Linked DNA regions of Stegostoma tigrinum. The protein of the gene in region 1 purifies or fractionates together with the protein of each later gene. This does not show direct contact. Links are inferred from orthologs where the notes say so. Each region holds a gene or a part of one and is shown on either strand. Other genes may lie near its edges. The genes, in order: sbf2 and mtmr1b.

Region 1 (15,805 bases):
TCTTAAAAGTAGCAAGTGAAAGTTGATGCATTGGTTTTAATATTCCAAAACTCTTAGATTCAGCAAGTTTCCTTTAGATTGGAAAGGAGCTAATGTAACTCCTTTGTTCAAAAAGAAGGAAGACACAAAGCAGGAAACTTCAAACCAGTTCGCTTAACATCTGTCTTAGGGAAAATGCTGGAAGCTAAAGATGTTTTAACAGGGCACTTAGATGAGTTCAAGTTAATTGCACAGAGCCAACATGGCTTTGTCCAAGGGAAATAATGTTTAACTAATTTATTGGAGTTCTTTGAAGTAACTTGTGCTGCAGATGAAGGTGAAGCAGCAATTTATTGTACTTCGATTTCCAGAAGACGTTTGATAAGATGCCACACAAATAGTGATTGCAGAAAATAAAAGTTCAAGGTGTAGGAGACAGCATTTTGGCATGGACAGAAATTGGCCGATAAGAGGAAACAGAAGGTAGGAATAAATAGGTCTTTTGTGGACTGGCAGGATGTTACAAGTGGTGTACCACAGAGATCAGAGCTATGATATCAACTCCTTATATTTATATCAGTAACCTGGTTGAAGGGATTGAAGGTACTGTAGGTAAATTTGCTGAAAGAAAGTTGAGGAGGATAGAAGAAGCCTGCAAAGGCTTGTAGGTAGGTTAAATAACTAGGAAAGGTTTTGGAAAATGGGAGTGTGTGTGAAATTGTCCATTTTGGCAAAAAGAATGAAAAAAGAACATATTTCTAAAAGGTGAGAAGGTGCAGAGATCTGAGTGTCCTAGTGCATGAACCACAAATGGTTAGTAATGCAGGTACAGTACATAAACGGGAAAGCCAATAGAATATTGTAATTTATTGTGAGGAGGACTGAATGCAAGAACAGTGAAATTATGCTTGTTGTTGTACAGGGCATTGGTGAGAAGGATGTTGTGTGTCATAAGCAGTTCAGATAAAGTTTACTTGACTAATATCTGGAATGTACAGATTGTAGCATGAGGAAAGATTCGCTAGCTTAGGCCCATATCCTCTGGAGTTTGAGGCACAGAGGCGGCCTAATTGAAACACAAGATCCTGAGGGAGACCTGACCAGATGAACATGGAAACAGTATTTCCACTTGTTGTCATTTTCCCACAAGAGTTATTATTTAAAAATAAAGGGGGCACCCATTTAAAACAGATGAGGAAACACTTTTTCTGCCAATGATCAAGTGTTCTTGAATTCCCTTCCTCAAACGCTGTGGAATGCAGAATCTTTAAATTTAAGGCAGAGGCAGATTCTTGATTACTATGGGGATGAAAGATTTTCAGAACTATACAAAAATGTAGAGTTGAGGTTAATATCATGATCTGAATGAATAGTGGAGCAGACTCAAAGAGCCAAGTGACTCTTGCGACTTGTTCATGTGGTCGGCAAGTGTTCATATAGCTCAGTCTAGGTTCAGCTAACTTGTGAAAGTTTCCCATCAGGAACATATTTTATTCGCCCTTTCTAATTTATTCCTGGAGATTAATGCATTTTTGAGTGGGAGCAGATAGCAAAGAAAAACACAGTGAGGTTTAGATTCGTTGAGGCTTGATGATTGCACAATTATGGTGTGGAGCAAGTTTAGTGTACAAGTTGATCTTTACAGAGTATCAGTATCAATTTTCTGTATATTTATGGTCTACCCACCCCAAATTATTTCAAATGTTAAAATCATTAACATCTGCATACTTCAGTCATTTGTTGTGTTAATGTTATTTTATTTACTGCAACCTTTCTGCTCCACACAAGGTGACTGCCACAGGTACAGCCAGAGCTTTGTGGAAAGTGACTTGTAGGCAAGTCATAAGAGAGCAAGAAAACCTCTCAAACATTTTCTTTTAGGTTATAACAGCTGTATGCCAACTACTGTTTTGAACACTGCATTGCTTCTGATATGAACTCTTAAAGCCACCTATGATTATCTTAAAATACATAAATAGCTAGAGTAAATTAATCTACACTAAAACAAAAGATCAAAGAACTATACGTTCATTCATCACTTTGAAGAAATGAAAATTTCTCTTACATCACAAACTGGTTAAAACATATTTGACAAATCATGTTAGTCATTTCTGTAAACTCCACTATTCAGACATTCACATCACAAAAGGAAGCCATTCACCCCATTACATCCAGAACAGTCAAAGATCTGACTGCACTAACCAACTTTCAGCACTGGGCTCATAGCCAGACAAGCTACGGCAGTGCAAGCAAACATGTAAATGCTGCAAGAGTTTCTAGCTCAGCCATCTTTTCAAGCATTGAGCTCCAGACTCTCATCGTCATCTGCAAAAAGATTTCTCAACTCTCCCATTAGCCTTCTACCTCTTACCTTAAACCTACGCCCCTGGTTTCATATTAATGGAAAAAGGTGCTTTTCACTCCACCCCATTTATTCCCTTTATAAAAAAACCTTATACACCTCCATTAAGTGCCCTCAACCTTCACTGCTCCAAGGACCCTCCAACATTGGCAACATCCTGGTAAATCTCAACAAATGCAGACAATACGGTATCTCTCAGAATTCTAATAACTGTCCCATCATTGAGGTTAAACTGACTGGTCTGTTATTTTTTGGTCTGTCCCTTCCTCCCTTATTTTTTTAAATAAACAAGACAATGTTAGCACTTCTCCAGTCCTCACTACTATAAAGGCAGTGACCAGAGAGGCTAGTATTCCACATACCTTAACCACATTTTTACCTGCCCTGCTACCCACAGGAATCTGTGGATACACACACCAAGATCCCTCTGATCTTCAGTGTTTCCCTGGGTTCTGCCATTCATAATGCAAGGGATATCACTATCTCACTTTTCCAGACTGAATTCTATTTGCTACTGCTCTGCACAGCCGATCAGTCCATCGATATCTTCTTGACATTTACAGCTGCTCTCCTCAGTATTAATCACTCTCCTAACTTTCATCCCTTCAACAAACTTCTTGGTCCATACCTACTATGTCTACCACCTAATGATGAACCTACACAAAAATCAAGGACCCTAGCACCAAGCCTTGAGGAGCCTCACTGGAAATAAACCTTCAATCACAGAAGTATTTCTCTTCCCTTACCCTGTAATTCCTGTAGCTCAACCAATTTTGGATCCAACACGCCACCCTGTCTTGGACTCCATGCATTCTTAAATTAACGAAGTCATATAGATTACTTTAAATGCATTACCCTCATTAACACTCCTGGTTACTTCATCAAAATTCAAAACTGACAAACAAAATCTTCCTTTCGTAAATCTATGCTCATTCATCAATGTCTCGCTGAGAGCAGATATATTCTGTCCCTCAACTCTTGTAACTGCCTCACCACCAAGGTTAAACTGATCATTTCCTGGTCTACTAAAAACAAGGAAGAGGTAATGGGACAACTTAGCAGTTCTTCAGTCCTCAAACACCTCACCTATGCTCAGAGAAGATTTGAAAATTACTGCCAGAGTCCCAAAAACCACATCCCCTGCATCCCTCAATAGCTTGGGATACATTTCATACAGATCTGCAGACATATCCCTACTTTTAAGACTGTTAAACCCCCTTCTTTCTATCAACTTCAATTTCTTCTGATATTTCACTGTCCTCCAACCTGATGTCTATACTGGAGTCATCTTTTTCCATTGGGAATACTGCTGCAAAGTATTCATCTTCCAAAAGGAAAACTTCTGTGGTATTTAATGGGCTTATTTTCTTGCTTTTTATTATTTTTTGGAAATCCTTGAGATTTTCTTTTATTCTAAATACCTGAACTTTCTTGATCTCACTTTTAAAGGTCTCCCATGCACTTTTTATACTCCTCCAGAGACTCTTCCACTTGGTATCTGCCGTAAGTTTCATGCGTTTTCTTAATGTGGAGATGCTAGTGTTGGACGGGGGTGGACAAAGTCAGAAGTCAATGACATCAGGTTACAGTCCAGATTTATTTGAAATCACAAGATTTCTGTTTTGAAGTCACCCGAAGGAGAAGCACCGCAAAAGCTTGTCATTTTTCATTAATCCTAAGCATTGTGTCCCTTAACCCCATCCTTGTCTTTACTGAAAATAGGTTTGCCCTGTTCTCTTACTATTTCCTCCTTGAATGTCAAACTGTATTTTATCATAGTAAACCGAATGATAAATAGAAAATAATACACCATGATCCTAGACCCAAATACAAATCATCACCCTTTTAATTGTTTGAAAAGACAGCCGTCAGTGGCTTCATGCAACTCCACCCCCTGCTCTGGATTACAATACAGTCAAAGCACCTTCTTGTCACCTAGTTGTACCCCTGGACCAGGGTGCTTGCGTACAAGTTCAACTTGCTCCAGAGGTGCTAATACATCTGAATAGGGTGATTAAAAAAAAATACATTAAATAAAAGAAAATTGAAATTTGAAGAACATGAATGGCGAACAATACAAGGAAACAATCAGCAATGGCCTTGACCACTCATAAGAAATATCAAGTTTTATGGCTTCTGTGCTCCTTCATTGACCCCGCAAATTTGTATGAATATGAATACAGGCAAACTTTAAATACATTACATTGCCACATACATCTTTATCAGGGGCTGTTAATAGGAGGGATCTCTGGCCTTTCTTTTCTCTTTCTCTCTCTCTCTCTTTCTGGGGCTCTTTGGCCTTGTAGCTGCAGTCTTCAACATGTCCAGGAGCAAATAGTCCATGTATTTTGGCATGCACCGAAAACATCAGGAGGGTAGCACTTGTTTGCTCTCAATTCTACTCATTAGAGTTCAGAAGAAACATATACAATGTCAGAATAAAATGTTTAGGTAATCCAGTGAGTTTCAGAAAATCATTATACAGATTCTAAACTGAGTTTTTCTAATCTGTAAAATTAGAATTTTATGTACTTACGTTAAACAAAAATATTAACTGGGATAGTGTAGGGCACGGGCTTAGATTAGCTCACAGGTTGGCGCAACAGCGAGGGCCGATGGGCCTGTTGTGCACTGTACTGTTCTATGTAATTCCAGGAATCATAGAATAACAGCAAAACCATTCTCAATTAACATTTTGATTCTTAAGAATAGCCCATATAAACAGCAGGGAGGCAATTAAATTCATAAAAGAACATTAACTTTCTGAAGAAAGACAGGCACTGGATGGTGCACCATGCGACTACAACATGTATCTTCTCGATTACATAAACAGATACTTTTATTTTGCAGTCAGGTCTATACAAAAATATCCTAAACCTCCCAAACACAAACAAAATCTGGAATTAAAACAAGTTTGTCACAATTTCTGGACATATGTTTCAAAGTACACAATTATGTATTACAATGGTAATTTATTTGCCTTGCAGCATTTATTTTTGCAATCACAGAATTAAAACTGTAGTAGTGCACACAGCTGGCCTTCGTAACATAATAGAATCATAGTGAAATAAAGTTGTTTGCATTGTGCCCTGAAGAGGAGAAACTGTAGGGTCTCTAAGTAACTGTCACTCACTCCACATGATTGACTTCTAATACTCTTTATGCTTACTTCATTAGCCACTCAGTAGCGAAATGCTCAAGGGACAACTAGAAATGGACAGTAAATGTACCAATGTCCTCCAAGAGAAAAAAGTTTTTAAAAGCAATGCAAATAGTACCACTCAATATTTTCAGATATTGTGAGCTTTTAATGGTAAGAGATTGACAAGTGCATTGTTACTTAAAAAGTGGGTATTAACAAAGTGTTGATTATGGGTATGATTTTAGGCACTCATAATAAAAACAAATTTAGAAAGTAGGCCATTCAGTTCCTCAAATCGATTCCATCCTTCTACTTTATTCGTAGTTCATCTGTACCTCAATTCTAATTCTGATCTTAGCTCCCTATCATTTGTCTCAATTAACTCGTAATCCATATTCTACATTATCAGCTAACTGTACACATAAATACATACTTGGCTTTTTTCAAACAGACTAAACAAAAAGTGCCATGGTCAGTCAATGATATCCTTTTACCAAAAAAGGAGCTTAAAATTCCTTCAAATGTCAGTACAGATAAGAAAATGGCACTCCAAAAGCTCAGCTTTTCAAATAAACCTGTTGGATTATAACCTGGTAACCTGTGACTTCTGACTTTGCCCACAACAGTCGAAACTGGCACTGTCATATCATGCCTTACATTATCCCACATTATGCTCCATCTACCGCGACCTTCCCATTCATTAAGTTTCATCAAAAATCCTCTTCTACATGTCCCTCACAGTCTCACTGAGCTTTACATCACACGCAAATTTGGAAATATTACATTTGGTCCCACCTCCAAAAACAAAATCACCATGCTTATGACTTGGCGTCAATCTCCTATCATTTCATCCAGAGCTGGTTCAGACAGCATCCTTCTGCACTCTAATAATTGTGATTCTGCAATCATGAATGCCTAAAATCTGAAGGTATTCATATGTACTGAAATATCCTATTTTTTGTTCCTTTTCCTCTTTCAGATATTGACAGACCATACAACACCAATATCTGTTTCTAAAACAAAGGTTACATGGTGTGAATTCTGTCCAAAGGGCAGTGCCAAAGTGTAAAAATGTAATATTTCAAACAAATCAAGACAGGACAAAAGCATTATCTGTATGGATAAAATACTATTTTAGGCATTTACATTATATATCATGGCAAGAGATTGCGTATAAGCTTTGTAAAAACTGGTCTAGCAAGTGGTTGCTGTGGTCAAAGAGGATGGCCATGTCAGTCTGGAGTTTCAGCAGCTGGCCATATTCTTTGGATGTCTGTAAAATACTGACACAGCTCCTTTGGTTTCGTATACTTCATGAGGGCAGGTTATTTGGACGTTACAAATGAGATGCCAAGTTGCTATTGCATTCCTTGAAGAACATAAGTCGCAAACTTGAGATTTCCTTTTTAATGTATTACTTTTTCCTCTGCTAATTCATTTGTGTCTTTTTAACTATAGACATATGTACTACTAACATCAAAGCACTTCACTGGAAATGTTCGGTAGCAGTAACACAGGAAAAATAACTGCAACTCAAGGCTACCGCCGTACTTACAAGAACATGTGTTAAACTCTCCAGTCATTCCGCACGCCAATCATTCGTCACTCCAAATACGACAACAGATTTGTTCTCCTTTATTATTTTGAAAGATTCAGTTATCAGACTACACAAAAACTAAACTAACTTGCAGAAAAGACCTTAACAGGCCAGACCAGCTCACATTAGTCATATCACCATCTTATAATTAAATAACAAAGCAGTTAAGTTTCCACCCTTGTCCCACCGGAACAACTCAGCTGCTCTGGCAGGCACTCACGGCCTAACAGGACTCTCCTCAGACCAAATGAAATGGCCACACATCTAACGACGTCTTGTAAAATTTTGAGCTTGTTTTAGTAAAAACTCACCCGTCTTTTCAGGGTCGTAACCAACAACCACAAAGTAATCGGCCAATCTCGCCATTTTTCGTGAATTCAAGGTTCGAAACAGAGAAACTCAACATTTTTCATACTGGTAAAGCTCAGCCATGTTGAAATCGCTCCCCCCCCCCCCCCCGAGAAGACAATACGCGTGCGCTGACAGGCCTGACCCTGATTGGGCGGCGGCCTGGCTTCACTGGCTGTGCAAGCTCGCGGAGGATAAGTGGTGCTGGGGGAACAATTGGAGTCGGGAGAAGTAAGGACGGGGAAAGCAATCCGAGCCGCGAGGAGTCGGAACAATTAAAGCCAGGTCAGCCAGCAGCATTCTTATCAAGTCAAGTCGCTTCTGGAAACCAGGGTTTTGGGATGCACATTTACTGTTCCATTTCCAGAAGTGTTCAGATCACCACAGAGTGTTTCTCTCTCTTTCCCATTCGAGGGATGGGACGCAACCTGACGAGGTGATACACGCTTGTTATCCTCGTTATTGCTGCAACTTGAAATGCTTCGTTATATATAGCTCCAGGTCGAGCAACAGAATCAACAGCTTAAAGTGATTGGAGCAATGCAATTCGAAACATTCAAGCTGACAGTCTTGGAAAGACTGCAACCAGAATAATAGTGTCAAATTTGTGATTTTCAATAAAATCAAACACTGCAAATCGAAGAAACGGAAAACAATAAAATCAAAAATTGTGGCTTAAAACCAACAGGTAAATTGATACGAATCCGAGCATAGTTGCATTCTACGGTAGTCGGCTAGTATGCTGCGAATATTCTGCAAGAGAGAAGGATATAGTTCAATTCAACAACTGAAGGAACAGAAACAAAAAATGCTGGAATGTTTGAGGACAGAATCCGTGGGAAGGATAAATAATTCCCGTGTAGTCCTTCATCACTTCTGAATAAGGGTCAATATTAGAAACAGTCGGACCGTCTGTTCTGTCTGCAACTGTTGGGTGAACTACGCATCTACAACATTTCCTGTTTTCATATTTTCGGTATTTGCATTTGGTCTTCCATTGCGTTCTACAATTTAAGCAGCAGATAGTTGCATACTGACTGTCAGGGGTCGGATGTGTCAGAATCATTACGAGTACCCAAAAAGTGAGCACAGATGTACATAAAAGAGTTTGTGCAAGAGGCTTGCAGTGATATCAAAGGTAAAATCTGTGGGACAGTGACAAACGTTGAGAAAATGTTAAGTCATCAGTGACAATAGTGTTTACAGTCTTGTAGGATATTCAGGCTTCAGAGAGTTCAGCACATTGCTAATATGAGGATATGCAAATAAATAAAAGGACTGAAATCTGTATCTTTTGATTTAGAACAATTCAGGACAATATAATTAGTACTGTGAAACAGTGGAATAAGATTTATAGAAGTAGACAATTTGCAGAGATACTCTGGATTTCACTTCCATTAGAATCATAAAATAATTGCAGCAAGTAGGGAGACCATTCAGCCCAGTGTGTTCATGCTTCACTTTCTACAAGAGCAACTCATCTAGTCCTACTGATGTGCATTTTCCCTATAACTCAGCAACATTTTCCCTTCAAATAACAACACAGTTCTCTTTAGATATCCTCAATGGAGGCAGAAACTGTATCAATATTGAAGGATAATTTAGTAAAGGTTTGGGAGGTTAGGGAACAGGCTGGGTTTTATTTTAATATGCAATTTCCATGTCTAGATTTTTTTTAAAGTCCCAAAAAATTGTTCCAAAGTAAGTATGTTTTAAAATAAAATTTTCAATTAATCTAAAGAGGCATACCATGATTAACAGGTATTGTAGTCAATACAGAAAATTCTACTACTTTGAGTTCATTTCCCAACGGGTTGCAAATACTTGAGACAATAGAGACAATCTCTTTCAACCTTATAATTTCAAATAAAGATATAACATAATTTTTCTCGTTTCCAAGCTGTCAACAAAGAAATTACAGTTTTGTTACTCTCAGTAATTAATTGACTAGTACTAATAAAAAAGAGCATTCATAATTTTTCATTCTCAGACATGGTTGGAACAAAGCTTTGAGAATTGTATTGCTAGTTTGTCTCAAAGTCTTTTGATTAATTGAAGGAAACTCAAATTCTTGCAGAATAACATCAAACACTTCACTGCTTTAATTCAGAAATCAACTGATGCATTCTGGGAAATTCACCAGGGTCCACGCTCTTAGAATACACAAATATGTTGGTAATCCTCCAACTGCATGAGGGCAACAATATCCAGTTGACCCATTACATTTTGATTCTGCTAAGGCTAGGAAGTAATAAAGTCTCCAAAGACTAATCACATTTCACTCAAAAACTTCAATAACATTATTCTAAAATATGTAACGACTTTAAAATGTCTCTAAAACATTTGGTTATTAAAAGCATTTTCACTATCAATTCATGAAATATGAGCACCACAGGTAAGGCCAGATTTTATTACAGCCTTCTTGACCTGCTGCAGTTGACTTGATGAGGATACATCTACAGTGCTTTAGGGAGGACATCCCACATTTTGACCAGTGTTAGTAAAGGAGTAATGATTTTTTTCATGACAGAATTTCTGTGATTTAGATGTGCTGGCATTCCTATGAACCAGCTGCCTTTGTTCCGCTTGGTGGTGAAGACTGCAAGTTTGGGAGACATACTCTGAAAAAAACCTTGGTGATTTGCTGCAGTGCACCTTGTAGAGCCTGATATACCAGGGGTGGAGGGAATTAATATTCGCCATGTTGGGTTGTTTGCAGATCAAACAGACTTATTTATCATGGAATGGTTGCATGCCTGTTGGGTGTTAAGGAGACCCACACAGGTAGAAATGATTGCATCATATGTTTGATATGCCTCTGGAAGGCATAAGGTTTGCAGGGTAAATCACTTGGCACAAAATACTTAGCCTGGTACGCTTTTGTCCCAACAGAATGTGTGTAGCAGGTACAGTTTTTAAGTTTCTGGCCAAAGTTGAGCTCAGGATTTTGATCATGGGGAATTCAACAATGGTGACGCTATTGAATGGCACCTGTATGAAATGAATTTTTCTTGCCATCTACCAGTCCAACCTGAATGTTGTCCAGACCTTGCTATATGCAGGCATGACTGCATTATCTGAGGAGTTACAAGTGAAATTGACTTTATAAAAACATCCCTACTTCTGACCTTAAGATATCTGGAATGTCATTATTGTAACAGTGAGGATAATTGGATTTAGCATAGAACACCTACAGTGTGGAAACAGACCCTTCGGTCCAACAAGTCCACACTGACACTCAGCGTATCCCACCCAGACCCATCCACCTAATCTACACATGCCTGAACACTACGGGCAAATTAGCATGGCCAATCCACCTAACCTGCACATTTTTGGATTGTGGGAGGAAAGAAGAGCACCTGGAGGAAACTCACACAGACACTGGGAGAATGTGCAAACTGCACACAGACAGTCACCCGAGGGTGGAATTGAACCTTGTGAGGCAGCAGTGCTAACCACTGAGCCACCATGCCGCCCTCAATGTGGAATTCCTGCAGCTATGTCTTGGAGCTGAAATGAATGGATTGTAACAACTACAATCTTCAGCAATGTATGACTTTAGCTGGTGAAAAGTTTTTTTTTCCCTCACATTCACTGACTTAGTTTATTAGGACTCTTTGATTGTCCAAGTTTTCTTCGATGCAAGTAGCCACTGTCTCCACCAAATATCAGATTTTTTTCCACAAAACTCATTTTGAGTGATTGTAAATTTTTTCTTTAATTGATCATTTTTCTCACCAGTCCTTCAGGATTTATTATTTTTGTCAGGAGTGTGTGATGCCATCCTGTTAGACCAGTTACTGGGGTTGAAGAAGCTGAAGTTACAGCCCACAGAAATGAAACTACCTGGCATCATTGAAATCACTGTCAGGATTGTAAGAATATTACAGGTCACACTGCAATGTACTGCACATAAGAAGTTTTAAAATGTATAAGCAACAGCAATCAAAAATCTTCACATACTAACAGGCAATAATGTGTCAATCTCAATTTCATTAGAAGAGTTCAAGGAGACTGACAACCTCACAGAGATCAAATGGCTTGGAAATAACAGTGTCAAAACACTGCTCCAGGAAACAATACTGTGGCTGAGCAGCCAGTCAATGTGCAATCAGTAGAAGTTTCTTAGATGCATGGCAGAAGCCAAATAGATGAAAGAATCCAAAAAGATTACTTAAATTAGCTTAAGAGAATTATTTCATACTGTTAATAGAGAGAAAGCCAAATGCTCTGCAGGTGGGCAGTAGTAGAAATATTCATTCCTCTGTCTTCTAATACAGTGAGATTTCAAGAACAACTGAAAATGTCAAAAAGTTTACTTTTTCACTCAACCAACGAGAGAGGGTGATTGAAGACATCCAATCGTTCAACAAATTGAGAGGGATAAGTTGCACATTATAGTTGCATGATAAAATTCCGCGTCTGCCAGGCCAATATCTATAATTCAGGACATTGTCAAAAGAAATTGTCTGGCTTAAGTATCCAGAATACTGCAAAGATAAAAAATATTTTCCAATCACAAAGCTATCACAGTTCCAGTAATCCAGGATACTATAAGAAATAAAATATTTGTTTCAACAAAGCAGCTGGCTTCCATGATGGGCAATCACAAAATTAAGGGTCCCTTGGATGAAGTTAGGGAGCACCTAGCTGAGTTATCAAGGAGAGGTTTATCTGTAAAGTGATTGCAGGAGATTAAAAGCCTTCCAGACAGGATATGGGAAGGTCACCATATCCTACAGGGCTGCTGACTTAGAGAGAAATAACTTGTGGGCAATTTACCCTGAGGGTCACCATTCTTCAGGTGAGGGGCAAGGTTGAGAAAGCATGGTGTAGAAATTGAACCCACACTGATGAGTCACTCAGCATTCCAAACCAACTATCCAGCCAAATCAGCTATCTGACGACTCCCACAGCCACTAACCTGTTCCCCCAACAGATAAGGAGCATGTGTGTGAATCACCAAGAAATGATCTCCTCTAGAAAGGATATCCAGGAGGTAAAATATTCTACAGAGGAGAAATTATCCACAGGCTAGTATTAAGGTCAAGCTCAGGCAGAAGATCAACCATTCTTCCAAATCTGAGCAGACTATATCCTGACAAAATTGTGATCTGCCCAGACCGCCTGCATTGGTGAAGTCAGAGACTTGAGAGAAGATGGACTGGTAATAAATTTAGAAATATTAGTGCACAATGGCTAGCAATGGGAAGAAAATCTTGAGGTCAGATTTAGTATGAGGTAATGATTAAGAAAGAGTTAATGTTCATGTTACATTGAACACCACCTGGTCTGATGACATCACACAGGCTTTGGTAGAGGCTGTTGAATTCTGCACCAGAACTCAAAGGGAGTGGATGTACTCTATTTGATTCTTAAGTGTTCTTAACAATTCTACCTGGCAGAAAATATAAACTGTACTTGTTGTTATAAATGCAGTAAGCATTTGATGAAGATGAAGGCCCCTTCTGTTTAGACTCCAGTGGCCTATCACTAACTGCACTGGAAAATGCCTGGGACATTACCCAGGGTGGGCAGAGTCAATGTTAATTTTATGGGGAAAGCATTGGATCAGAATCTGCTGGACACTGGACCTTGAAGGTGCAAATACATGAAGCATGTATTTGCAAACTGAAGCTATATTTCATTTTCAGACATTTCATTGTCCATTTGCAACACCTGCAGAGTTGTCATGTTGAGGGTTCAAATGTTGATTGAAGGTAATTTACACCTTGCCATTTAGTTGTTGTAAATTGAACATTGCTATCTCAGTGAGGTCAAAATTGGCTTAAAAAGAAGTGAATATTAGCCAAAAGTGTCCTATAACTTGTGAAACTTGCAAGGTGCTGTGAGAGGTGGAGACAATTGCTTAATCGTCTGTAATGGTGGGCTGTACTGAATGCAATAAGTTTCCTGATTGATGTGGGTCTGGGATGAGAAGAAGTGCAGCCAGCACTCCATTTGAGTGTATAATGTGTTTTTTTGATTCATTCACGGGATGAGGAATGTCACTGGCTAGGCAGCATTTATTGCCCCTTCCTAATTGCCCAGAGGGAATTTCAGAGTCAACCACATTGCTGTGGGTCTGGAGTGACATGTAAGCCAGACCAGGTAAGGATGGCAGTTTCCTTCCCTAAAGGGCATTAGCGAACCAGGTGGGTTTTTCCTGACAATTGACAATGGATTCATAGTCATCATTAGATTCCTAATTCCAGATATTTATTAAATTCAAATTTCACCATCTGCCAAGGCAGAATTTGAACCCAGCTTCACAGAACATTATCCAGGTCTCTGGATAAACAGTCCAGTAATAATACCACTAGGCCATCGCCTCCGTGTTGGTCACTGAACTTACGCAGCACCATCGCCAAGTTGGTGCACATGCTGAATGAATTATTGAGACACAGGCCTGGTTCTTGGGGTGCTGCATGTCGCGCTATGTGGAGAGGTGTATGCAACCATCATCTATGCCGCCACTGATTATCTCAGAGCTAAGAACCTGTTTTGCTCTGTATGTTTCCAATGCAGGTCATTGCCAGCAAGAGTCATATGCCCAGCTACAGGTGGGATGTTGATCACTGTGGCTGCTTTCCAAGGAGCTGAAGGCTGATACAGAAGGAGCAAGGCTCACAGAAACTCCACGAGCAGCAGCAGAGCACCATGGAGGAGCATCTTGTACAGGCACAGTTGCAGCTACTGTGCCCCTAGGATGCGTTGGGTTTACAGGAGGGATTTTTCACCCCTTTTCTTGCGGATAACCAAGATGCAGCACCAACACAAGCTTCTATGTCCCAGGACACTGTGATGGAACAATGCAGGATTCCAGAGCAGGACTCGAGGGCTCCAACTGTTGGAGGCCATCTTTCCCAGTTCACCCTGTTAATGTGACAACTATGTTGAACTTCTATGCCACTGGCCCCTTTCAGGGAGCAATGAGAAACCTATTTGAGATCTCTCATGCACCCACAAATACTTGAGGACAATGGCTGAGGCCATCTTTGCAAGATCAAACCAGTTCATTTAGTTTCTCAATTACAAGATCGGTGCTGCAGCCTAGCTAGAAGGATTCAGAAATGTAACTGGCATCCCCCAGATCACTTTGGCATTGACTGTGCGGCACATTGCACTGAAAGGACCATATCACAAGTGTGTGTGTAACAGGCACGGGTGGATGTAATCTCCACTGTGCTGACAAAGTGTGCCATATCTTCCGAGCGTGCTGTGCTTTGCACAATTGGACCAGGCAATGAGACAATGTGCTCATTACGGAGATGTGGGAGCACTTTACTGAGGACAAGCACACTGCAGAGGTGGAATCTGTCCTTGTACATGACAGTGGTCAGCTACATCGGGTAGTTCAAGGCAGGCAGGAACTGATTAATTATTTTTCTACTCAATGAGCGCTAGATGGAATGCAAAATAGTCATTCATCATCATGGCAGTATTTTGTTTGCATTGTGGAGATGAACTGCAGTCTCTGTTCATTTTGTTTGTGTTAGCTCTTATTGATTTTAAATAAAACCTTGTTTTGGAATTGTCTGATTGTTTGCCAGTATGTGGTGTTCATGTAATGAACTATGACAAAATCCAGGCTTACAGTGGGCATTGAGGACAGTTTAGCAGTGATCTAGAGAGGGCGTTGAGACAGATGTAGCTAAGAACAGCTAAATTGTGTAGCCTAGTAGCTAAACAGGATTGTATATATGAGGGAATGTCAACCATGCCATCTTTGTGCTGTCAGCTATGGCTTTGTGGCTGCTGGTGAAGGGCAACACCAGACTGCCAACATTGCTTCAGGTGCACAGAGCCTTTTAAAGATAGTGTGGGCAGCACAGAAGCCTGTCTTTCAGTGGATATCTGATGACTGGCAAGTTGTTTTGGGAACTGTGGTTGGAAGAACTGGGCTAGAATAAGGCCACAAATTAGATGGTGTAGGTAGTAAATGAACAAAATGTGTTAAGATACAGCAAAAAAATGACCCCAACAAGAAAATTGTTGAATAACTATTTCCCTGGAAGCCCTCATTAATCGATAGGTTTAAGAAAATCTTGTGTTTAGGACTTGGCCATATCCATAAGTTGTGATTCCTGTGAAACCACACAATACTGTCCAAGCCAAAATTGTTCTCACCCTTACACCAATCACAGGCAGAAGCAAGAAAGCAGTACAACCAAGTTTGTGCAACAATCTGAACAATTGTTAAACATATATTTAGACCTTAAAACAACACTTTAACAGATGTTTAACAAGATGTTAAAATTTGTTCTTGAAACAACATGTTTAACAAATCAAGGACCTTCCAATCAATAAAGCCGCAGTAGAAGGTAAAACGTTGAGGCCTTGAGGTGTAGCTTGCAGATTTAACATGACAATCCAA
Region 2 (15,990 bases), on another chromosome or scaffold:
ACCTTTGAATGAATATTCAGTCTTTGTAATTCATTATGAAACGTGGCTAGGATTTATTATGTGACTTGGCAGTCTGCCATCTTGAACCACTGCAGCCCATGTGCTGGAGGTTGACCCACACCCCTAAGGAGGGAACTTCAGGATTTTGACTCAGTGACACTGGCAATATATTTCCTAGACAGGCTGGTGAGTGACTTGGAGGGGAACTCAAAACATTTGTGTTCTCACGTATCTGCTGGAAGTGGTCATGTATTTGGATGGTGCTGTCTAAGGAACCTTGGTGAATTTCTGCAGTGCCCCTTGTGGATGTTTGTGCTGCTGCTACTGTCAGTGATTTGGGGATGGGGTGGGTGGGGGTGGTGGAGAATGCATGAAATGCCAATCCTGCAATTGTCTTGTTCTGGATGGTATCGTGAATCTTAAATGCCTTTGGATCTTCCATTACTCATTGAACACCCACATCCCATTAACGTCCAGAGAGACATACCTGGTAAGGACAGCAGATTTCCTCCTGGGTTTTTGAGATGATCAGTGGCAACTGTACGGTCACCATTAGGCCTGCTGTCTATCCTGGATTTTATTGAATTCACATTTCACCATCTTCCATGGTGGAATTCAAACCCATGTCCTCAGAGGCTCCAGATTGCTAATCTAGCGACATGACCACTATGCTGCCACCATTTCCCCTTGCTGCTCTGATCCAGCCACGTGGGGATTGTTCGCTTATGCCCTTTAAATGCTGGACAGACTTTGAGGTGACTAGATAAATTACTGGCTGCACGGTTTCTAGCCTATTGACCTGCTCATAACAACAGCGTTTATATAGCTAGTTCAGTTCGGTTCAGTTTCTGGTCAATGGTAACCCCCAGCATGTTGACAATGGGGGTTTCAGTGATGGTATTGCCATTTAATATCAAACACAATGGTTTGATTCTGTCGGAGATGGTCATTGCTCGTCAATTGCATGGCCTGGATGTTGTTTACCACTTGTCACAACCTGGAATATTGTCCAAGAAACACTACTGCGGATGCTGAAGACCTAAAACAAAACAAACAGCTGGAGAAACTCAACCAGTCTGACAGCATCTGTGGAGTGAAAACAGAGTCAGCATTTCAGGTCTGGTGACCCTTCTTTACTCAACCTGAAATATTGCGTAAACATTCCACTTCTGACCTTTATAATGGAGAGAAAATCATTGAGGAAACCACTTAACAGCCAAGTAATTTCTTTGAATTGAGGTAATTGACCTGCAACAACACAAGCATTGTCCAATGTTCTAGGTATGACTCCAGCCAGCAAAAACTCCCCCCTCCATTCCCATTGACTCCAGTTATGCTAGGGTCCCTTAATCATATACTACTATTTGATAGAATAGCTGTAACCTTATATTGATCATGAAATTTAATGAAGCCTGTATTGTACATTGTCCTGTATCCATCGCTTCTGATCCTGCAATTGTAGTGCAGGGGGTACTTGGTGTGGAGTTGAATGACTGAGGGACAGATACTTGATTGTGAGGAGCTACTGGAAATCTAATCTTGCCTGTGATGTCTAAATAATTCTTCAGGTAATGAGGTAATGGCCTAGTGGTATTACTACCAGACTATTAACCCAGAGACCCAGGTAATGGTCTGGGGACCTAGGTTTCCAGAAAAACCCATCTGATTCACTGAAGTCCAGGAGGGAAGGAAATCTGTCATCCTTACCTGGTCTGGCCTACATGTGACTTCAGACCCACAGAAATGTGGTTGACTCTCAACTGTGCTTTGGGCAATTAGATAAATTACTGGCTGCACAGTTTCTAGCCTATTGACCTGCTCATAACAACAGCGTTTATATGGCTAGCCCAGTTTGGTTCCATTTCTGAATTAGGGATAGGCAATAAATACTGGCTTATCCAGTGCAGTCCATGTCCCGTGAATGAATTTTTTTAATCAAAGGACCCACCTTCAGACAGTCATAGCATGATGTGTAGAATATGTATCACTCTATACCTGTACAAAATAAGATTAAATCTGATATTTCCAGACTTTTAAAAAAGTGTACAACATGAAACTAATGCTTGCAAAATCTACTGTATATTTCCTATGCATTACAACAGTGTGCCCCAGTCTCCAAATGAATCCATTAGTAATCATTGGGAGATAACAGCTGACCTCAGTGACAATGGAGAATGATGTTTTCTGATAATAGAACTATGGCTACACAGGGAAGATAGGAGTGTGCTTAACTGGTTTCTTCACTATTGAATAACCAGGTAACATTGTATACACTGTGACATGAAAACTTTGCAACAACCACACTTCAATAGAGAAATTGTCTCAGTCGTTTGCTGAGATGAAAGGAAAGTTGACTCTCAGCCAAGGAAAGAGCTATTAATTGAAGAAAGTGGACAGAAGTGGCAGGCACTGACTAGTGGGCACACCCAGAATCAGTGCTTAGGCTCCAGCTTTCATGGCCACATGTAAATGATCTGGATGAGGGAACCAAATCCAACATTTTATGATGATACAACACTGGGCAGGATGAGTTGTGAGGAGAAGATGATTTAGATGAGACAAATGAGTGGGCAAACACATTGCAGTACAACCTTGCTAAATTTGAAGTTATTCACTTCCATGTGAACAAAAGAAGCGTTATGTGAATGGTGAGATATATTGGGAAATGAGGACTTGCAAAGGGACCTGGGTGTCCTTGTATGCTAGTCAATGAAAGACAGGTAGGTAAAGTGGGCAATTAAGAAAGCAAATAGTATGTTAGCTTTCATTGCAAGAGGATTTGACTTCAGAAGCGGAGATGTCTTACTCCAGTGAGACCACATCTGAAGTAATGTGTACAGTTTTAGTCTGCCTAACCAAGAAGGGGTACACTTGCCTTCGAGAGAGTGCAGTGAAAGTTCATGAGGCTGAGGCTGAAAAGTGATAGCATTGTCCTATCAGGAGAGAAAGGTTTGAGTGTGCCTCTATTGACTAGACTTTAGAAGGCCGAGATCTGTTTGAAAGATATAAAATTCTAACCGGGCTGGTCAGACTTGATGCAGGAATGATTTTTTTTTCCCCCCCTGGTCAATGAGTTTAGAACCAGAGCCAGTGTCTCAGGATAAGGGGAGGTCATTTAGGACTGAGTTGAGGAAAATACTTTTCCATTGAAAAGGTAAAGAACCTGTGGAAGGTGTGGAGGCCATGTCACTGAACATGTTTGAGAAAGGGAGAGATAAATGTTAAGATTTTAAAGTGTCAAGGGGTATGGAGGAAAAATAGGAATACAGCATTGAGATAGAGGATCAGCCATCATCATGTTGAATGCCTAGTCCTGCGTTCTAATTTTCTATGTTTAAGACTGGCCACGGGAGGAAGCAACGGGGTTCAGGACATAAATCTCAAACCATGAACTATGGACAATTAATACAATGACAATCAATGATGGGCAAAGGATGGGGATACACAAAACTGTTTGGGTTGTAAACATTCACCATGCATGATGGAGTCACAGAACTAGGGCATGCTATAAGATTGCAAAATCCCACAATGCCCCTGCACAATGCTAGCAGCTTTGGGAGTTGCAAATATGTTGTGTTGAGGCCATGTTCATTGGAAGCATTTGGGATGCTTCCAGTGGATTTGTTTCCATGAATCCTCCCTGGTATTAGTCCAAGTTACTGATACCAATTGGAGAAGGATGCCCACACACAGTTGGCAGCAGAAAATAGACTTCATCTTAATAAACTATTAGGCTAATTACATTACATTTGAGGAACATCAGTGTCTTTTCTAAGATCAGAAATCTCAACATCAATCCAACAGGTTTATTTGAAAGCACAAGCTTTTGGAGCATAGCCCCTTTGTCAAGTGAAGTGAAGAGCTCGAGGTAACCTGGTGTCATGTGATTTCTGACCTTGTCCACCCCAGTCTAACACTGGCACTTCCACATCATTTTCTAAGAACCCAGTCTGTACTTAAGAATATATACACATAATTTCCACTGAAACGTTCTTGTCCACAACTTAAACGTGACCGAACAGTTTGAACACTGGTTGGCCGCTCCCAGGAACAGTCCTTAGTATTCTGGTGGGTGAAGCTTATCTCATGGTATCAGTTAACACTTTTGGGTACGAACTGTCTTATACAACAAGACCAAGCGAGGGAAAAGAATTTTATATTTAAAAATGAAAATTATACATCTGAAGCATGAAAGCTTCGGGAGCCATTGAGCCTTAGCAGGGCTACAGGGTAGCTAATATACTTTGTAATAGACCATTCGTTTTTATATTCACTCAAGGAAAGTGGCCATTGCTAGCTGGAACAGCATTTATTGGGCATCCCTAATTACTCTTGAACTCAGTGATTTGCTGGCCCATTTCAGAGGGCAATCAAAACTGAAAGAACTGCGGATGCTGTAAATCGGAAATAAAAACAGAATTTGCTGGAAGCTTAGCCAGTCTGGCAGTCAACTATGAAGATAAAATCAGAGTTAACATTTTGGGTCTGGTGACCCTTCCTCAGTTCTGGGCAATCAACCTGCCTTCCCTAAACTTCCTGGTAATACATTCCACACTCTAACAATTTGCTGTATGAACAAGTTTTGTTTTCTCATATTACTCTTGATTCCTTTGCACAGCAATTTAAATCTATGTCCTACTGTTATTGTTCCTTTGATGAGTGCTGGGGTGAAAATCTGCCATCATCTGCCTGATCTGGTCTACATCTGACTCCAGCTTGACAGCAACATGGTTGACTCTTGATAAACATTTTTCATGAATTCTTTATTTGCATATCGTTGTGTAAGATCAAGAGGGTATAAAGCCAGTTTTGTATCCAATTGGTTAGCTCCCCCTGTATTCCATGCGATCTAATCTTGCTAACCAGTCTACCATGTGGAACCTTGTCAAAGGCCTTACTAAAGTCCATATAGAGAATGCCACCATTCTGACTTGATCAGTTTTCTTTGATGCTTCTTCAAAAAACTTAATCACGTTAGTGACACATGATTTCCCACACACAAAGCCATGTTGACTTTTCCTAATCAGTCCTTGCCTTTCCATGTGTGTGTAACTGTCCCTCAGAATCCCCTCTAACATCTTGCCCACCACTGACATTAAGCTCACTGGTCTATAGTTCCTTGGCTTTTCCTTACAGCTTTTCTTAAAGAATGGCACCACATTAGCCAACCTTCAGATGTCCAATACCTCACGTGTGGTTGTTGACAATACAAATATCTCATCAAGGGGCCCAGCAATCACTTCCCTAGCTTCCCACAACATTCTGTGATACACCTGATCAAGTCCCGGGGATTTATCTAACTTCATTTTAAGATGTTCAGCACCTCCCCTTCTGTAATATGGACACCTTTCAAGATATCACTACTTATTCCTGGAACCATTCTGGTGAATCACCTTTGCACTCTGCCCTACGCATGCACATTTTTCTTATAACCTGGTGCCTGCAACTGTACATAATATTCCATCTGAGGTCAAACAAGTATCCTGTATAAGTTCAACATGCCCTTCCTGTTCTTATATGCCCTTAATAATAAAGCATGAATACTGTATGCTACAATTACTGCTGTCTTCACCCGTGCTTTGAGTTATAAAGAAAGGCTAGATGGGCTGCAACCTTACTGGAATGTAGGAGGTTGAGAGGTGACCTGATAATAGTTTATAAAATAATGAGGGGTAAAGATAGGGTTAATGGTAATTGTCTTTCCACCAGGGTGTGGGATTTGAAGACTGGGGAGCACATTTTGTAACGTGAGAGGGGAGCTGAAACCTCCCATACCTAGCAACATCCTGGTAAATCTCTTCTGAACCTTCACCAGTTTAATAATATCCTGCCTGTAACTGGTCAACCAGAACTAGATACAGTACTCCAGGAGCGTCCTGTACAACCTTAACATGACTTCTCACTTCTATTCTCAAAGGGCTGAACAATGAAGGCAAGCGTGTCAAACGCCTTTTTAACCACCCTGTCTATAGGTGATGCAAACTTTGAAGAATTATGCACCTGACTGCCAGGTCCCTCTTCTACAACACTACCCAAAACCCTACCATTAACTGTGTAAGCCCTACCATGGTTTGTTGTATCAAAATGCAATACCTCACATTTACCAGATTGAGCTCCATCTGCTGTTTTTCAGCCAATTGACCCATTTTGCCTGAGGGTGGAATTGAACACAAATCTCTGGCTTTGTGGGGTAACAATACTAATGACTGAACCACTTTGCAATCCCTAAAGTATTGTGTTCAATAGTCAAATTGTGCTGTTTAATATATAATGCTTGTATTGCTAATTGTGCATCACCCACAACAAATATACACAAATCACCATGATGTTGACAATGAAATGTAAATATTCATTTAATTTTAATTTTGCATTTAGAAGTCTCCTTAAATCCAAGATAACTTGCTGCTTCCAAAGCCAGTACACTACATAAGACATGAGTCAGGAGTGTGATGGAACAATTTCCATTTGACTGAATGGGGCAGCTCCAACAGCACTGAAGAAATTCCAAGCCATCTCGTCCACTTGATTAGCACCATATTCACCACATTCTACATCCACCCTCTCCATCACCGACATAGTGGCAGCATCGTGTATCAATTGTAAGATGCACTGCAGCACCACCCCAAGACTGCTTTGATATCAGTTTCCAAATCTGTGAGCTCTACCGCATTGGACAAAGACAGCAGATATATAGAAGCACCAGCATGTGCAATTCCCCTGCAAGCCACACTCCAGCCTGACTTGGGAATTATATGATCACCTCTTCATTGTCACTGGTTCAAAATCTTGAAACTTGACTTCCTAACAGGGTAGGTGTACCTGAACAACATGCATTACAGCTGAGCAAGAAAATGCCGACCAACCTCTCAAGGGCAATTAGGGATGGGTAACAATGCAAGTAATGTTACATTCCATGGGAGAATTTGAAACATCTCAGTTTGTATAAACATGCTTTTTACTTGCTGCCATACTATTTCTAATTCCAACTCTTCTCGGTGGTTCAGAGTTTAATGGTAACAGACCGACTATTTACAATGGCTTACCATGTACTCTTATCATAGTAGCATATTTATGCATAATGAAATTGAAGTCTTTTTAAAACACAACACAGTAAGTCATGAAATTGAAACAATTAGTGCTCTGTAGTAAGTTATCAGCATTTGTCAGACATTTCAATGTGATGAGAAAATGCAGTTGTACAATTGGAACGTTTGCTAGAGCATGCTGCAAAACAATGTCCTGGGGTGCAACTGTAATGACTGTTAACTGAGCTGACAAAAACAACAGTCACTGGACTTATATTAAATATAAAATTACAGGAAATGTCTGCTTGGGAAAAGAGGAAAATTACCGGATGCATTTGTCTAGACAGCTGAATGTTAGTGTGCTTCATGTTTTTGTGTTAGAATATTATCTGGACATTAATTTTGTCAACGTGCAGGTCTTTATTACCCTTTGATGTTTATGACATGATCTAGTAGTATCTGATTTCAGTAAGTGAAATTTTGTGGTCCTTGTGTGGCTAATTGTTTCATTCAATTTCAGTTTTTTGGGCTATTTTCTTTATAATTTTTAAACTGGAGAAAAATGTAAAATATGCAATATTTTACGAATGTAATTTTAAGAAATTAGTTCAGGTATGTGAGTACAAAAAAATCTCCAGGATCTCTTTGTATCCAGCAATAGAAAAATCAGGACTGGGACGAAGCTGCTTTGTTTGTCCATCCCCTCCTCAGATTTGTTTGTGTTCTTTGCTTTCCTATTGAACAGCAAACTTGATTTGAAACCTTCACTGATTAATGGATAAGCCATCAAGAAAATGAGTTGGAAATGTTGGATAAGTTTAAATCAGAGTTAACATTTCGGGTCTGGCGATCCTTCCGCAGTTCACCGGACCCAAAACGTTAGCTCTTTTTTTTCACAGATGTGCTGCCAGACTCGCTGAGCTTTTCCGGCAACTTCTGTTTTTATTCCTGATTTACATCATCCACAGTTCTTTACGTTTTTAAAAGGCACTGTCAGGCACTGGTAGCTTATTTATTTGTGCTCTTCATCACTGCACACAATAGCAAAGAGTGCACCAGCTACAAAAATGTACTGCATTAACTTATTAAGGCTTCTAAGCATCATCTGAATCAGGACATGCACCACCTGCACAAGGGCTGCAGGTATGTAGGAGCAGCATCGCCTGAAAATCGCTCTTTAAGTCACACACCGTTTGGACATGACCATTTATTGTAGTCCTTTTACTGTTACTCAGTTACTGCCCAGTAACACCCTTCCTAACACTACTGTGGTTGTCCCTAAATCACTAGTACTGCAATAATTCATGAAATTAGCTTCTAATGGCCTCCTCACACACAGTTAGGGATGAGTATTAAATGCTGGGCCCAGACAGTGAAATTGAACTTTGAGAATGCTTTCTTGCACCTTGTGCATCAATCTAATGCATCTCCAGCCTTCCCAATGATTGACAGATGGCCATCCAGCTGCAGGGTTATCACTTAGTGATGGACGGCTGGCAACCTGCTGATTTTCAACGATCAGAAAGATTTAAAAACACTGATGGTGCCGGGAACATTGTCTTCTATTGATTGACTGTTGTCATTCTCAGGGAGTGACAGCTGTCAGCCTGTTGATTGGCAGCTATTGGTCCCAGGTGAATGACAGGTGTTGGTCCCAATGATTGACAGGTGTCAGTCCCAATGATTGACAGGTGTGGGTCCCGATGATTGACAGGTGTGGGTCCCGGTGATTGACAGGTGTCAGTCCTGGTGATTGACAGATGCATGTCCCAGTGATTGACAGGTGTCAGTTTCGGTGATTGACAGATGCATGTCCCGGGATTGATAGGTGTCAGTTTCGGTGATTGACAGATGCATGTCCCAGTGATTGAGAGGTGTCAGTTTCGGTGATTGACAGGTGCAAGTCCCGGTGATTGACAGGTGCATGTCCCAGTGATTAAGAGGTGTGAGTCCTGGTGATTGACAGGTGCATGTCCCAGTGATTGACAGGTGTCAGTTTTGGTGATTGACAGGTGCATGTCCCAGTGATTGACAGGTGTCAGTTTTGGTGATTGACAGATGCAAGTCCCGGTGATTGACAGGTGTCAGTTTCGGTGATTGACAGGTGCAAGTCCCAGTGATTGACAGGTGCAAGTCCCGGTGGTTGACAGGTGTATGTCCCGGTGGTTGACAGGTGCAAGTCCCGGTGGTTGACAGGTGTATGTCCCGGTGGTTGACAGGTGCATGTCCCGGTGATTGACAGGTGTCGGTCTCCTTGCGGCGCTGGCTGCAGCTGAACTCTGACTCTGCGCAGCTACAGGAAGAGGAAGCGCCGGAGTGAAGCTGTTACTGAGAGGATTTCCGAGGCCGAGCCTCTAACAAAAGGCGGCCGCCATGGACAGGCTGGGCACTTCCGAGAGCCTGGCCACAAAGAGGCCACCGCGCTTGGCCACTGGCTCCGGGCAAGCGAGCTTGGATTCACCGGAAAGGTAGCGGGTCCAGGCCTGGGACTGGGGCCAGCGGGTAGAGGGAGCCGCCCAGGCGCCTGTGGAGCACGACTTTCCCCGGCTCTGTTTGCATCGGGATCCCCGGGCACGGTGCATGGAGCCTGCGTTGGATCTGCAATGGGATCCCGGGTACAGTGAATGGACCCCGGGCTCAGTTTGTATTGGGATCCCAGCCACGGTGCGTGGAGGCCCGGTGGCTCTGCAATGGGATCCCGGGCGCGGAGTATAGAGCCCGGGCTCTGTTCGTATTGGGATCCCAACCACGGTGCATGGATCCCGGGCTCTGTTTGTGTTGGGATCCCAACCACGGTGCACGGATCCCGGGCTCTGTTTGTTTTGGGATCCCAACCACGGTGCACGGATCCCGGGCTCTGTTTGTTTTGGGATCCCAACCACGGTGCACGGATCCCGGGCTCTGTTCGTATTGGGATCCCATCCACGGTGCATGGATCCCGGGCTCTGTTTGTGTTGGGATCCCAACCACGGTGCACGGATCCCGGGCTCTGTTTGTGTTGGGAGCCCCGGCACGGTGCATGGAGTCCCGGCTGGGTTTGCATTGGGATCCCGGGCACGGTGCATGGAGTCCCGGTTGGGTTTGCACTGGGATGGGCTGCGCTGTTGGGAACAGGGACACAAGAGGCCGTGAATTCCAGGGAAAAGTGTAGAGAGCTCAGGCTGCAGGCTCGTCGGAAGGTGCATTTTGGGCCAGTGTCTTTTGAACTAATTGCCGTGTCGTCAATTCCTGGTTTTGGAATGTGAACACTTGTATATGAATGTTTTCACGTTAACCAGAAAACTGCATTAATTGCATTTTGAATGTTGCGCTAATCCAACTTATTACAAATGTTTTTCCTTCCTGGGTCTAATTATTTTCTGAACAGGCCGGTGATGTGGTAGAAATCATCCCATTCATGAAGCTGCTGAAAGAAATTGGTGAAGTTATGTGAAGTCGTGGTCCCGCAATGAGGGACAGTTTTACTTAAATGTAAACTATTTTTCCTATCAAGGTACCCACCAAAAAAAACGGCCTGCAGCTTTGAGCCGGTCTTCACGTAAATTAGGAACTGGAGCAGGGCATTCAGCCCCTCGGACCTTTTCCACCATTCAGTGAGACCACTGCTGATCTGTAACCTGACTCCACGTACCTGCCTTTGTCCCATATTCCTCAATACCCATTGCTTAAGAAAAACATTATCTATCTCAGATTTTAAATCTGACAACTGATCCATTGTCCTTTGCGTAAGAGAGAGTTATGCCTTTTGTGTGTCAAAGTGCTTCTAAACATTCTCACTTGAATAATCCAGCCTTAATTCTCAAACTATACTGTGTAGTCTTAGAATGCCCAACCAGTGCAAATAGTTTATGGTTATTTATGCTGGTTATTTATTCCTTATCTCATTGGCAGACTTGTAAATACAACTAATTATGGGCTGAAGATGACTGATTTCAGCAGTGATCATACAAGGAGACACAGCAGTTACGAACTTCATCCAGATCCAATGTAAAAATAGGAAAAAACAAAGCTGTTACATGCAGCCTGGCTGGTCGTCTTGAAGTCAAACAGAAACTGTCTTGTGTAGCTGAAGTCATGATCATGTATTGCAGACACCCTACATCATGCTGTGTGGCACTGCTGTCATGCAGAAGGGGATAGATTGCAAACAGATCTAGGAATTCAAGACTGGGCATCGGGTGTGCTATAGGCCATCAGCAGCGGCAGAATTTTACTTAAGCACAATCAACGACCCCTTGGTCCACCAGACTTCCCATTCCCAACATTATCATCAAGCCAGGCCACCACTCGCTCCACCGTCAATGCTCAGTAGTAGTAGTCTGCTGTATCTACAGAAATTCAGCAGCGATCCTCAGAAGGTTCTCTGGATCAGTTCCAGAGATGAAAGGCATGTTTTATGAAGAGAGATTGAACAGTTTAGGCCTATACTGTCTGCAGTTTAGACGAATGTGTGGAGATCATATTGAGGTATATAAGATGTTAAAAAGGATTGAGAAAGTAGATTTGGAAAGGATGCGTTATATGGGCCCATCTAGAATGAGGGGTCACAGTTTTAGGCTGAGGGGTAGCAGAAACATGTAGAAAGAAACTGCTTCTGTCAAAGTGAAGGTCTAGGCCCAAAACGTCAGCTTTTGTGCTCCTGAGATGCTGCTTGGCCTGCTGTGTTCATCCAGCTTCACACTTTGTTATCTCGGATTCTCCAGCATCTGCAGTTCCCATTATCTCTTCTGTCAAAGTGCCATGACTTTGGAATTTACTACCTCCAAGTGCATTAGATATCAGGACACCTCAACATATCTCCGCACATTCTTCTAAACTCCAGAGAATATAGACCTAAACTGTTCAATCTGGCTTCATAAAACTATTATTCACAGGACACTGAATAAATTTAAGGAAGAGATGGACAGATTTTTAATTAGTACGGGGTTGCAGGGTTATGGAGAGGGAGCAGAAAAGTGGAACTGAGGCCAAGATGAGATCGGCCACTATCGTATCAAACAGTGAAGCAGGCTTGAGGGGCTGAATGGCCTACCACTGCTCCTAGTTCCTATTGTCAAGTCTTTACTCAATGAAGAGTGCAGGAGGACAGGCATATCTAAAAATGAGATGTCACCTGGGGAAGCTACAGCACAGAACAAATTGCATGCCAAAAAATATAAGCAGCAAGTGAGATAAAGGGCTAAGCTGAATCCCTTACTATCAGCACCCTGGGGATTGAACATCCATTGAACAGAAACTGAACTGGACTCAGCACAGAAACACAGTGGCTGTAAGAGCAGGTCATAGACTAGGAATCCTGAAGCGAGTAACTTGCTTCCTAACTCCCCAAAGCATATCCTGCGATAGGCACAAGTCAGGAGTGTGATGGAATACTCCCCACTTGCCTGGATGGGTGCAGCTCCAACTACACTCAAGAAGCTTGACACCATGCAGGACAAAGCAGCCTGCTTGATTGGCACTGTACCCACAAGCACCCACCACTGGAGATCAGTAGCTATATCACCATTTCAGTCGGTCAAAATCTTGCAGCTCCCTCCCGAATGGCATTGTGGCCGTCCCTGTGCCACGTGAGCTGTAGCAGTGTGTACTATCTACAAGATGCACTGCAGAAATTCACTAAGCCTTCTTAGACAGCACTTTTCAAACCCAAGACCACTTCTATCTAGAAGGAAGAAGGCAGCAGATACATGGGAATAGAACCACCTGCAAGTTCCCCTCCAAACCACTCAACAACTGGCTTGGAGCTATATCACCATTTCAGTGGGTCAAAATCTTGCAGCTCCCTCCCGAATGGCATTGTGGCCGTCCCTGTGCCACGTGAGCTGTAGCAGTTCAAGGTTCACCACAATAATAAAGGTAATAAATGCTGGTGCAGTCTGTAACTTCTACACCTCTAAATTCATAACAAAAAAAGCTGAACTCTACCTTAAATCAGGCCCAATGGTAGAGGTAGATGAGATATAAAATCCTGAAGAGTTTTGACCGGGCTGATGTGGAGGACGTCAAGGGAGAAGCTAGAACTAGGAGTCACTGTTCAAAAGCCAGTGATAATCCACTTGAAACAGAGATTAAGTGATTTTTCTTTGTTCCTCTCTGAGGGTTGTGGGTCTCTGAACTTTCTTCTTGAAAAGGCTGTGGAATCAGAGTCCTTAAAATGTTGAAGGAGAGCTGGATGGATCCTTAATAAGCAAGGTGATCAAAAATTGTGACGATAGGCAAGCATATGAATTTGAAATTACAGTCTGATCAGCCAGCATCTTATTGAATGAAAGAGCAGGTTCGAGCATCTACACCTTCTCCTGCTCCTGATTTGTGTGTTTAGCTCGTTCACTGAAGCCTGTGTGATTTTCTGCCTCAGAATATGCTGGAGGATATTGTATAATTAGAAAACAGAGGTAGACAAACTCTCATTAGCCAGAGGAATCAAGTGTTCTTAGGGGTTTGTAGTGTGGGGATGTGGAATTCAAAACACAAACAGACCTGCCGTGATTTTACTGAATGGCCGAGCAGAATTCGAGGGGCTCTATGGTTTAATTCTGCTCCCGTTTCACATGTTCAAATGGCAGAGGTTGGAGATATGGCAATCGTGACATTTTTCTGGTCAGCCTGCAAATGGCAGAGAAATGTTGCAACGATATGAAGGGTAGTTTACAAGACTGGCTCCTTGAACCCCAACATCAGCATTATACCAGGCCCCTGTCTTAACCAGACTTGTCTACATGTCTGAGTGTTTCATAATGCTACAGGTAATGGTTGAATCCTCATCTTTCCGAGTGTCATATGGAGAGGGATTAACAGGACAGAACTACAGTTTGAGCACTTGCACTGTTTCAGAATTGGTGAAATGGAAGCCGTGTGCCTACAAGTTCTGCTCAGTGTTAAGAGAATGTGCGCATTGTTTCAAGAAAATATCCTGAATGTGTAGAATCTGAACAATTACCTTGCTGTTAGATTTTACTGAAATATGTTCAGCAACATTTAAGTGCATTACTAGGAAATTACTTCATACAAATGGAAGGACTCGTATGAAATAAATTTCTGGACCGAAGAGTTGAAATTTGCCCAGCCTTTGAACCCAGTTCGATGCTCATTAGAACATTGAACAGAGAACATTACAGCGCAGTACAGGCCCTTCGGCCCTCGATGTTGTGCTGACCTGTGAAACCAATCTGAACCCCATCTAACCTACACTATTCCATTATAATGAATTCCATTATCAATATGTTTATCCAATGACCATTTCAATGCCCTTAAAGTTGGCGAATCTACTACCGTTGCAGGCAGGGCATTCCACACCCTTACTACTCTCTGAGTAAAAAAAACCTACCTCTGACATCTGTCCTATATCTTTCACCCCTCAATTTAAAGCTATGCCCCCTCGTGCTAGCCATCTCCATTGAGGAAAAAGGCTCTCACTGTCCACCCTATCTAATCCTCTGATCATCTTGTATGTCTCTATTAAGTCACCTCTTAACCTTCTTCTCTCTAACGAAAACAGCCTCAAGTCCCTCAGCCTTTCCTCATAAGTAATCTCAATATTGTTTACAATGTAATTAATTTACAACTTGATGTACACAAAAGTGTGGGGTGCCATTTATTTTAAATGACTGGATCCAACTGACCAACACATCAGTGAGAAGATACACAGTGTGGAGCTGGAGGAACACAGCAGGTCAGGCAGCATCAGAGGAGCAGGAAAGCCGACGTTTCGGGTTGGGACCCTTCAGAAAAAGACCCGAAGCATCAGCTTTCCTGCTCCACTGATGCTGCCTGGCCTGCTGTGTTCATCCAGCTCCATGCTCTGTTATCTCTGATTCCAGCATCGGTAGTTCTTACTATCTCTGAGTGACAAGACACATCTTGATAAACTTTTGATATAACAAGGTGTGGAGCTGGATGAACACAGCAGGCCAGGCAGCATCAGAGGAGCAGGACTTGTACTAGTTCTCTTGCCTTGCAGTTATTCACAAATTTGGCAAACTTATTTTCTCTGTTTAACTACTTTACTTCTTCATGGGGTGTGGGCTTTGCTGGCTGGAGCTTCATTTATTGCCCTAAATGACCTTGAGAAAGTGGTAGTGAGTTGCCTTCCTGAACCACTACATTTGGTGTAAATACGTGCACAAAGTTGTCAGGGAGGGAGTTCCAGGATTTTGACCCAGTAACTGTGAAGACAGTGATGTGAATTTCCAAGTAAAGGTGGTGTGCTGACTTGAAGAGGAACTTGCAGCGGGTGGTGTTTCCATGTATCTGCTGCTCTTGTCCTTCTAAGAGGTAGAGGTTGTGGGTTTTGAGGTGCGAACGGACCAGTTGTCTTCTGTTTCCTGATAAATGCTGAGCTGGTTCCATTGAATGTTTTGTTGATGTGAAAATACACGACAGAATACATTTGCTAAAAGTCTGGGAGCAAAGACAAAAAAGCACGAGAGCAGGCAGCAGGTAAAGAAGGGTTAGAATTCCAGGTGAAGTCTTTGCCAAAACCTCACTGTTCTGATGAAAGACCCTTCCCAAAAATGTTAGCCTGTAGGTGCTGACTGACTGAACGATTGTATGTTAGTAGCATTTTCTGTGCTTTTGTTTCTGTTGGTGGCTGTCTAGTTGATTTGCTTTGTGAATCTGATCCTTGGTGACTAGAAGGGGAATGGGTTCAGACCCTGCAGGTTTTGTTCTGGCATGAGTATAAAAGATTTCCAGTGGGGAATCGAAAATAACCGTGAAGACCAGCGGAGTGGGGAAATACACGTGTCAGTTCACTGATCTTCTAAACTATCAACTATAAACTCCTGGGAATGAATATTTTGCACCTCCGATTTTAGATGATCTAATTTTTTGGAATCTGAGAAGTATTTCCGAGTGTTTGCGTTTTTCAGTGTTCATGATATATGTATATTACGCTGAGAATTTGACCAACTCAGGACTATCTTATTTGTTTAACATATGGCAATATGAGTTAATGTTATGACTA

Evidence for each region.
Region 2: the proteins of sbf2 (region 1) and mtmr1b purify together in Homo sapiens (affinity purification with mass spectrometry; 3 studies listed by BioGRID and IntAct, with this or other methods). This does not show direct contact. The link is inferred for Stegostoma tigrinum from reciprocal best matches to the Homo sapiens genes SBF2 and MTMR1.

What each region holds. Positions count from the first base shown.
Region 1 is NC_081370.1:26,316,864-26,332,668, reverse strand, and holds the start of sbf2 (myotubularin-related protein 13), read right to left. Parts: upstream 7,524-15,805; 5' UTR 7,447-7,523; coding exon 7,392-7,446; intron 1-7,391. UniProt on the Homo sapiens protein: Guanine nucleotide exchange factor (GEF) which activates RAB21 and possibly RAB28. Promotes the exchange of GDP to GTP, converting inactive GDP-bound Rab proteins into their active GTP-bound form.
Region 2 is NC_081368.1:14,658,454-14,674,443, reverse strand, and holds the start of mtmr1b (myotubularin-related protein 1b), read left to right. Parts: upstream 1-9,316; 5' UTR 9,317-9,398; coding exon 9,399-9,493; intron 9,494-9,509; exon of another isoform or gene 9,510-9,605; coding exon of another isoform or gene 9,606-9,640; exon of another isoform or gene 9,641-9,689; intron 9,690-15,990. UniProt on the Homo sapiens protein: Lipid phosphatase that specifically dephosphorylates the D-3 position of phosphatidylinositol 3-phosphate, generating phosphatidylinositol. Could also dephosphorylate phosphatidylinositol 3,5-bisphosphate to produce phosphatidylinositol 5-phosphate.